Regions from separate parts of the Mus musculus genome. Here region 1 is reported to be linked to region 2. The links are microRNA targets in miRTarBase. Many come from high-throughput screens and were not tested one by one. Region 2 holds a microRNA gene; the other region holds the end of a gene's coding sequence.

The links. Region 2 holds the annotated microRNA mmu-miR-1b-3p (UGGGUACAUAAAGAAGUAUGUGC, at 2,992-3,014, shown strand). A microRNA usually pairs through its seed, bases 2 to 8, with sites in the 3' UTR of a target mRNA and lowers its output. Matches are read on the target gene's strand: a 7mer-m8 pairs with bases 2 to 8, a 7mer-A1 pairs with bases 2 to 7 and ends in A, and an 8mer does both.
Region 1: the mRNA of Dclre1c is a reported target of mmu-miR-1b-3p. The part of its 3' UTR that is shown has no 7-base or 8-base seed match.

Annotation. Positions count from the first base shown.
Region 1 is chr2:3,453,011-3,457,010 of GRCm38, reverse strand. It overlaps Dclre1c (DNA cross-link repair 1C), which reads right to left. Exons shown (of 14, transcript NM_146114.3): 14 at 1,657-4,000. The coding sequence ends at 3,202. It overlaps Suv39h2 (suppressor of variegation 3-9 2), which reads left to right. Exons shown (of 6, transcript NM_022724.4): 6 at 1-1,196. Among named protein-coding and RNA genes, the nearest start is that of Suv39h2, 20 kb to the left of the region's middle.
Region 2 is chr18:10,782,534-10,787,079 of GRCm38, forward strand. It overlaps Mir1b (microRNA 1b), which reads left to right and starts at 2,913; the gene lies at 2,913-3,034. The region is part of intron 12 of Mib1 (mindbomb E3 ubiquitin protein ligase 1); the gene reads left to right. Mir133a-1hg (a long non-coding RNA gene) reads right to left here. Exons shown (of 3, transcript XR_877177.3): 2 at 3,173-3,348. It overlaps Mir133a-1 (microRNA 133a-1), which reads right to left and starts at 443; the gene lies at 376-443. It also overlaps Mir1a-2.

The DNA.
Region 1 (4,000 bases), not on the chromosome of region 2:
TTACTGTTAAGGTTAAAAGGAAACTTAGGAGGGCAAGAAGGAAAATACTGTTTAATAAATATGTGGCTTTGTTTTGTCCTTACTAATAGAAATTTAATGTGCCCTTAAGATTTTGTGGGGAGTGGGTAGGCCTTTGGACAGAGTATCTGTAGCCAGGTTAGCCTTGAATTTACTGTGTAGCTGAGTATTATCGTGAACTCCTCAGCTCTGCCCCCCTACGGCCCAGCGCTGGGATTGCAGACACGTGCCACCATGCCAGCCTGGAGATTTTTACCTTTAAACACAAACAGACTTCACTCTGAGTGCCACACATGTAATGGTCATTGCTTCCCTTCACTATTCCATTACTCTTTCCTGCCTCTCAACATTCCCCCATTACATCCCTCTCAGACTGTCACCTCATGTTAGCTATTTATACAGGGTATGTGTATGTGTGTGCACATTGTTGTGATAAAAGTGATCAATTCAGCTGGAGCCTGATTCCTCACGTCACACGTCCCAAGTATGTAGTGTCTTCAGCAACATGTCCTTGGAAATAATCATGACAGGAACTTGAGCAGAGGCTGGAACCATGTAGGAAAGCTAACGCTGCTTCTTGGCTTACTCTCAGCCAGACTCATGCTCAGCTAGGTTTCTTAGATAGCCCAGGCCCCTCTGCCTAGGAATGGTACTGCCCACAGTGAGCTAGACCCCGCTACATCAATTACAATTAAGGAAATCCCCACAGACATGCCACAGGCCAATTTTGATGGAGCCAGTTTCTCAAATGAGGTTACTTTTTCCCAGGTGACCCTAGGCTTGTCAAGTTGTATGAGAAGGTATATACAATCAGTTTGCATTTGATTCTTCTCTGAAGTAAAAGTGGCTAGCCTTTAGGATTTTGTGATGTATCTTGGCATTTTGAAATGTTTTTAACTTTGCTAATTTAGAACTCTTGAAGAATGATGTAGCCACTACAATCAATGCTGCCCGTTTTAATGCTTTATGTAAAGAGCTTTCCTCATACAGCAGAGTGCTCGAGCATGGACTCTAAAAGCTTCGGGGTGTGTGTGTCTGTGTGTGTGTGTTGCTTACTAGCTATGTGAACTAACCTTTGTGCCTTAGTTTCATGCCTACCTCAAAGTATGGTTTCATAGATTAAAGCTTTATAAAGTGGGCTTTTTTTTTAATAACAGAATAAACACCATATGTAAAGATTTCCTGTTGTTCTGTATTTGAAACCTAAGCTGATAAGCATGTATTCTTAGCTCTTGACCTTTGCCAGCCAGTGTTCATGCCAGACTTAAGATCTAAAACATGAACATTACAATGATAAAATGTTAGAAATACATTGAGAACAATGTTTACAGGCATGTTACCTTGGATCATGAAATATTCTATTAAAACCAAGTTGGGTTGAGTGTGGCTCAGGTCAAAGGAAACAAAATTAAAATTAAGTTTTGAGTATTAGTGACTACACAAATGGAGAGTTATATGTACAGATATTCTAAGTCCAATCACCCAGCAGGTTGGGTCCAGTAATTCTGGATCTAATTGTGTAGCAGTTATGATCTGTGACATGCAGTTTAACTGTCAAATTGTTAGACGCCTTTTAAACTTATGTGGTGTGCCTACATCTTTTCCCTTGATTTGTAAAATGTCATCATACTCAAGTACTTATGAAAATGCTTATAAAGCTTTATTAATCCATACACATCAATACAAAAGCATTGTACCTTAAGGCACTTTAATAATTCACAGAGCATGTATGTTAAATATTTAAGTATTTTCCTTTACATCATTGCATTGGGAACAGTTTCATGTACTGAAACAAGCTCTTGCTACATACATTGCCCAGGCCTGACCTCCAACTCAAGTCCCTCTAGTCTCAGCTTGTAGAACACAGCCTTGCCTAGCCTGCTGGTAGCTTTTAAGGTTTATTTTTATATATGAGTCTTTTGCCTGTATGTATGTATGTGTGCATGGATCCCCTGGAATGGGGTTACAGACAGTTAAGAGCCACCATATGGGTGTAGGGAACCAAATCTGGGTAACCCACAAAACCGACAAGTGCTCTAAACTGCTCCAGCCCTGCCCCCCCACCCAGGTCTTTATGTGATAGAGGTTAATAAGGTCCTGGTTTACCCCCTGCTACCAGTTTACTAAAATAGAGCCCACCTTTATTTTTCTAGACTGCTTGTAGTGATTCAAGATACAGTGTATCTTGGTGGAGGAATGGTCCTTGTACATTTGAAGAGATGTATTCTGCTATGAAGTAAAATACTCTTGTCTATCAGATCCAGTTACTGGTGGTCAGTTCTCGTCTTACTGCTTTCCTGTGTGCACTGGTTCTCTAGGAAAGCGTGTTCCATGGCTTGTATCTGTATTATTTGCTCTTTTGTGGAGGGCATGGCACTGTACTGTACTGGAAACTGCAGCTAGGCCTTCATACAATCTAGGCAAGAACCTTACCATTACATCTTCTTGGTGAGGTAGACATTATGTTGGGGAAGGTGCCTGCTCCTACTGTATCATTCTGGCTTTAACATTATTTATGTGGTCTGCCCTTTACCTTCAACTTTTACATCACTTGAGTTGTGTTTTCTAAAAACAGCACATAGTTGGGCAGTGTTTTTCCTGTACTCTGTCTTTTTGTAAATCTTTTTTTTTTTCTTTTAAGATTTGTTTATTTATATGTAAGTACACTGTAGCTGTCTTCAGACACTCCAGAAGAGGGAGTCAGATCTCGTTATGGATGGTTGTGAGCCACCATGTGGTTGCTGGGATTTGAACTCCGGACCTTCGGAAGAGCAGTCGGGTGCTCTTACCCACTGAGCCATCTCACCATAAATCTTTTTATATCATTTGCATTTAATGTGATTATATGTTTAGATTTAGTTCTACCATCTCATGCAATGCTGGTTTTGAGCCTGTTTCTCTTTCTTTTAGGTCACTTGAGCATCCTTTAATATTTCATGTTGATCTTATTATATAGATGTGTCACTCTGCAGATTTCTTGTGGTTGATCTAACAAGTGTGTCTACCCTCCAGGCCACATACATCCACAGCTATGGATATTGCCCAGGACTTTTATGTATAGCATTGTATTGCAACATCGAAAGGCTGGACATCTTTGCTAGAATGAGAGGGTTTTTTTTTCTGTTGTTGTTGTTGTTGTTTTGGTTTTTCGAGACAGGGTTTCTCTGTGTAGAGTTTTATTTGTTAACTATCTAAAAGTGAACATTTTCTTTTTTCGACAACTATACTTTGACCTGTTGCCAGTTTCCTGTATAAGCACTGCAAATGCTCTGGCGTAGGAAGCTCCGCTTCGGGAGTTGAGGGGATTTCAAAGTCAGAGGAGCTCTGTGAGTCTGCACGTGTGCTGCTTAGCAATGTCTTCTCAGGTGGAGACTTCCTGCCACTCAGGGTGTCTAGTTCTACAAGACAAGGGGCTCCATTTACTTCAGCTCTGCTTTTCAAATCACAGTGAGTATCTTGTGGACACAGTGCATCCTGTTCTATTTGAGAGGCAGAAATACTCTCTTTGAGTTTTGGTTTGTAGGCACCCTTGTTTAAAGAGGTACTATCCCCACCACTTTTCTCTTGGGAAGATAACAAAACAGTATCACACTGGCTGTCCCAGCCTTGACTTCCTTGATCTGTTATATGGGTTGACTGAGATGAATTCTGGGAAGAGATATGGGTGGAGTCTCCATCAGAGTCACTGCAGAGCTTTGGTGAGTCACTGCAGAGCTTTGGTGAGTCACTGCAGAGCTTTGGTGACTGAGATCCCCCTGTCTCTATGGAGGAAGGTAAGTGTTCCAAACATTCACCTGTGATTTCATCTCTTCTTTTGAAGAAGACTTCCCACTGTGGTATGTCCACATCCGGATCAGCATTTTGCTGGACGAGTGTCGAGGGGCCCAGACCTCCCTGCAGTGAGGGTGGTGGGGTTTCTAGCTCTTCTCCACTGTCGCTGTTGGATTCTTCACAGTCTATGAAGTTAGCCAAAGAAGGGCTC
Region 2 (4,546 bases):
AGGTGAGTTTTTGATGAATTTCTCAAATATTTTTGTCATTTTTATTAGAGGTACAGTAAGCATTTTATTATCACTTTCAGAAGAAGAAAAGTTTATGTCACTTCTAAGATTTAAAGTGCTTTTATAAAAATTTTTACATTTTATTAATTAAAATGAAAAGTTAATACCACAACCACAAATAAATAACTTTATTTGAAATTCTTTTTATCACATTTCATGAAGCTTTTAAGAAACATCTTTATCCAGTTTAGTTCTTCCAAATAAGGTTGACAGTTGCTAGGTATTTGCTTTTAGTTACAGTTTGTATGAATTGAGTAAGTTGAGATGTAATTCATGCTCATAAAACACTGGCTGTCCATGTGTAATCAATGCATAGCTACAGCTGGTTGAAGGGGACCAAATCCATTGAAGAGGCGATTTGGTTCCATTTTACCAGCTTTAGCAAAGCATTGCCGCTGCTGGTGTAGGATCCAAACAGGTTAAATGCTCTTTTGTAGAAATATAGCATGACAGGTATTAGAGGTTCCCACACTAGTGTACCAGTTGTTAAACAGAAAATTCACGTGTTTAGGCATATGTCCTACACTGCTGTTCTTGCAGCTCACATCAGTGCATCTTTACTTAGTTCTTAAATGCACACAGTAGCCTTTCAAAACCAACATTTGAAAGAACAGATAAATCATCATGTGTTTCAGAGTAATGCTTCTAAATTATCACCATGTTGGTTTGTTCATTCAGGTCTCTGTGTAGTCCTGGCTGTCCTGGAACTCACTCTGTAGACCAGGCTAGCCTCAAACAGAGATCTGCCTGCCTCTGCCTCCCAAGTGCTGGAATTAAAGCAGTCTGCCACCATGCCTGCAAACCAGGTTTTTAAGTAATTAAACTAGATGTTGAAAAAGGGTCATGTTAGCTACATATTTTTGTACTGCTTCTATTTTAGCTGAGGACTTAACAAGTTCTGATACGGAGTGGAAGGATAAGAATGGCCTTAAGAAAGTAACTCTGTCCTTTAATTTATTAATACATCACACATATCTTCAGTGTCATTCTTTGCTTTTGTTTATGTTGGCATACTAACCCTAAGTTCAGAAATTAACCTTCTTAAAAATCTATTTTATTGAGGTGGGGTGGGGAGGAGATGTGGGATGTGGAACAGTTGGAGGGTAGAGGGGGGTGGGGGTGGGGAATGGAATGTGGAGTGTAAAAAATAGATTAAAAATAAAATAAAATTTAAAAATCTATTTTCTTGACTAAATTCTATGCTGTTTTGAGTATAGATTGTTCTTATTATAAGGTTAGTGATACATTGATGTATGGTAGTTGGCTATAATCCCTGAATTTTGAATATTAAAACCTACCATGTGATACTTTAAAACCAGTACTTAAGCATTTGATGTGATTCTGTTGGAGATTTCCTGCCTGAAGAGAATGTCTTCTGACACATACTCATACAATAAAAGTTTGATATATTATAGCTTGTCTGTAAAATTAGAATGCTGAGGGAAATACCATATAATTTTATTTTTTTAAACTAATATGGTAGAAGGACAACACAATCTCAGACAGTATGCAAATAGTTTAATATTCTATTCTACATCTGTTGTTAATTATTGTGCTTCTGGTGAAATTAATGTAATTTTAATTCTTTGCATCATTTTTTCCAAATAGTGAAACAGGTATTTGGTTGCTTAAACTTAAGTGCTGAAGATAGCACTTGCCTGGTTCTATTTTAGTAGGTCCCTGGCAGCCAGTCAGCAAGTGCAGTTGCTCAAGTGTGCTTTTGGATCATTGAGTTTCGTGTACTGGCCATATCAGGACAAGGAGAGGCCATGGGAAAAAATAGTCCAGCATCTGATAGTGTCAGCATCTGTTATCCCTGTCAGGGTGACAGTTGAAGTGTTTGAGTAATAGCAGTGTCAGCAGATGCCCAGAGTTTAACATGTACTCACTTCAAAAGGGACAGCTGATCTAAGTGCTGGATGTGACATTTCAAGTGATTCAAAACACTCCTAGACAAAAGCTGAACTTGGAAGCAACAAAATCAGTTTTCAGTTTTATTTTATAAATGAATAGCTAATATTCTCTAAGGATTGTAACAAATTATTAGTTGTGAAAATGTTTCTTAAAGAATTATGAAAACCTTTCAGACCTGTGGAATAACTAATGTAGCTGTTCATAACTCATTGTGAGAAAAACAATGTCATTTGATATAAGCAAGGACAATACAGACTCAGGTTTTTGACAGTTTGTTGCCAATATATCCTGTTTACATTTTAGTTGTGGCCTAGGGTTTTGCCATTTTTATCATTCTTTTTCATGCTGTAAGTATTAACTGCACTTAAAGTACAGATTGGGTTAAGAACTGACAAGCTGGAAAAGGACAAAAGCCAGTTTTCATGTGTGCAGTATAATTTTACTTAAAAGATAGTCTTTAAACATTATAGTTTCAATAGCTGTCAGAAAAGAAAATAATGAAACCAAAATTTTTGGCTTACGAGATCCTCTGATTTTAATAGGTTATACATTTTGCCACATGTGAAGAATAGCTATTATATGAGTAAAATCAGCTTTTTGTTGCTTTATTTTTCTTATTAGATTTGTTGGTCCTGATTTGATAGATGTGAGACACTAAAATATCCAATTGTGAAGACAGATAATGGTTGATCCTGTGTCTCACTGTTTTGCGCTAGCAATACTATTTCCTCTGTAGTAGTCACATTTTAATCACGTGAGTATTCAGTGTAGAGTGTAGTATGATTTAATGTGAAAATTAAAATCCACTTCCACGGGACTTATCTCTTCAGTACAGTATAAGGGATGTTAGTTTTCCCAGTGAATGGCTGGTCCTTTTGGAATGGGGCTGTTAGTATTACAGGTGAATTCAGAGTATGGAAGTCATCCTCCTGGAAAGTTTCCTTTAGCTTCTTCTTGGCGGACATTACCTACCCAAAATACATACTTCTTTACATTCCATAGCACTGAATGTTCATATGGGTACATAAAGAAGTATGTGCTCTGAGTAGGCACTCCTGCGCCGGCCGATAGCTGTGAAAACATGAAGCAGCCCACCTCACCCAGCTGTTAGTAGGACATTTGGATTACTTTTCTGGAAGAGTAATGGATCCAGTGCGGAGATTAGCTTATCAGAGACTGAATTTTACAACAGATTTACCTGATCCCATCAATGCCACTTCTGCTTGTGGTTCTTTTAAGCACTGCCATGCTTTGCCCTGCTGCTTCTTTTCCAAGAGATGCAGTCAGCAGAGTCTTAAGTGTATTCAGAAATGTTAGCACGCTTGCTGCTCTCTCCGTCGTGCCTCCCTCTTCTTTATAATTTGCTTCTAGATCCTTTACAGACAGATGATAATCAATTTAGTCTAAATTGTTTTTATAAACCAGATACTTCTACTTAAAACTTATTGGGAGAAACAAGTTACAGTTAGCACAGGCTTTGAAATTGGATCATTTCATTGTGTGAGTGAATTAATGTTTTTAAATGGAAATTTATTTTCAAGGTAACAGATTACAAATCATTTAGCCAAGTTTTTGTTCTGTTTCTGTTTGCATTGAATGCAAATTCAAATAGTTACGTGCTTGGTTTGTATGAGATTACTTTTTAAAAATGGTTTTTAATATAATGGAAAAGTACTAAAATAACTTTTCCAAAGTCTCCATAAAAGAGGAGAAGCACTTTAGTCTGTGAATCTCTGGGTTTTACCTTGAATATTTAGCACAAGAAAAAAAAAATAATTTGGGAGTGGCCTATAGTCACTAAGACATTTTGAAGGTTAATTCAAAAGGAGACATTGAGAAGCTTTGAGATTTGGTAAAGAATAGAAAAGGGGGTGCTGGGAGGGAAGTGGGGGAATAGGATTTCTGCAGTCCATGAAGAAAGCTAGTAAGCTGCCAACGCGGGCCTCAGTCAGCAGTGCCGCTGAGACCTGCACCGTGCAGCAGCATGCGGATGTCTGTGGCCTGAGTAGTAAGCAAGGGGAGACATTTCATAACCCAAATCTTGAAGTAGCCTTTAGAAGCTATTGTGCTCTGGAGGCAGGGATGCAGGTTTACTAGAGGAGCGAGACACAATTGAAACAACTGTTTAATTGAAAACAATAAAGACCCTGTCTGTAGTGATGTAATGTTAGTGGTAGATTGTATATTTTTGAAGTTATCTGGCATGCTGTTTGAACAATGGCATTTTTAAAACTAAATTATTAATTTGAGCTTTGAAATTAGCCTATGCCCAGATATAAATTAATTTAACAATGAGAATATATATCAGTCAATATTAGATAAGCATGCAGAAAGTCAGAAGCGTCCTTCCAAGTTGGTTCTTGTGCTTGATTTACCTGTGAGCTTAGTGTCCTGCCCCACTTACAGGGAAGAGATGTAGTGACCTACAGTAACATTGCAGTCACCACATCATGACCGTTCTTTCACACTGCTGCTGTTTCAGCACTGGTTTTATAAGCTGGGTGAGGTAAGCACCCAGTGTAAGTGAACACAGAACCTTACCTTGTAAGATACATTTGAAAGACAAGTTAAA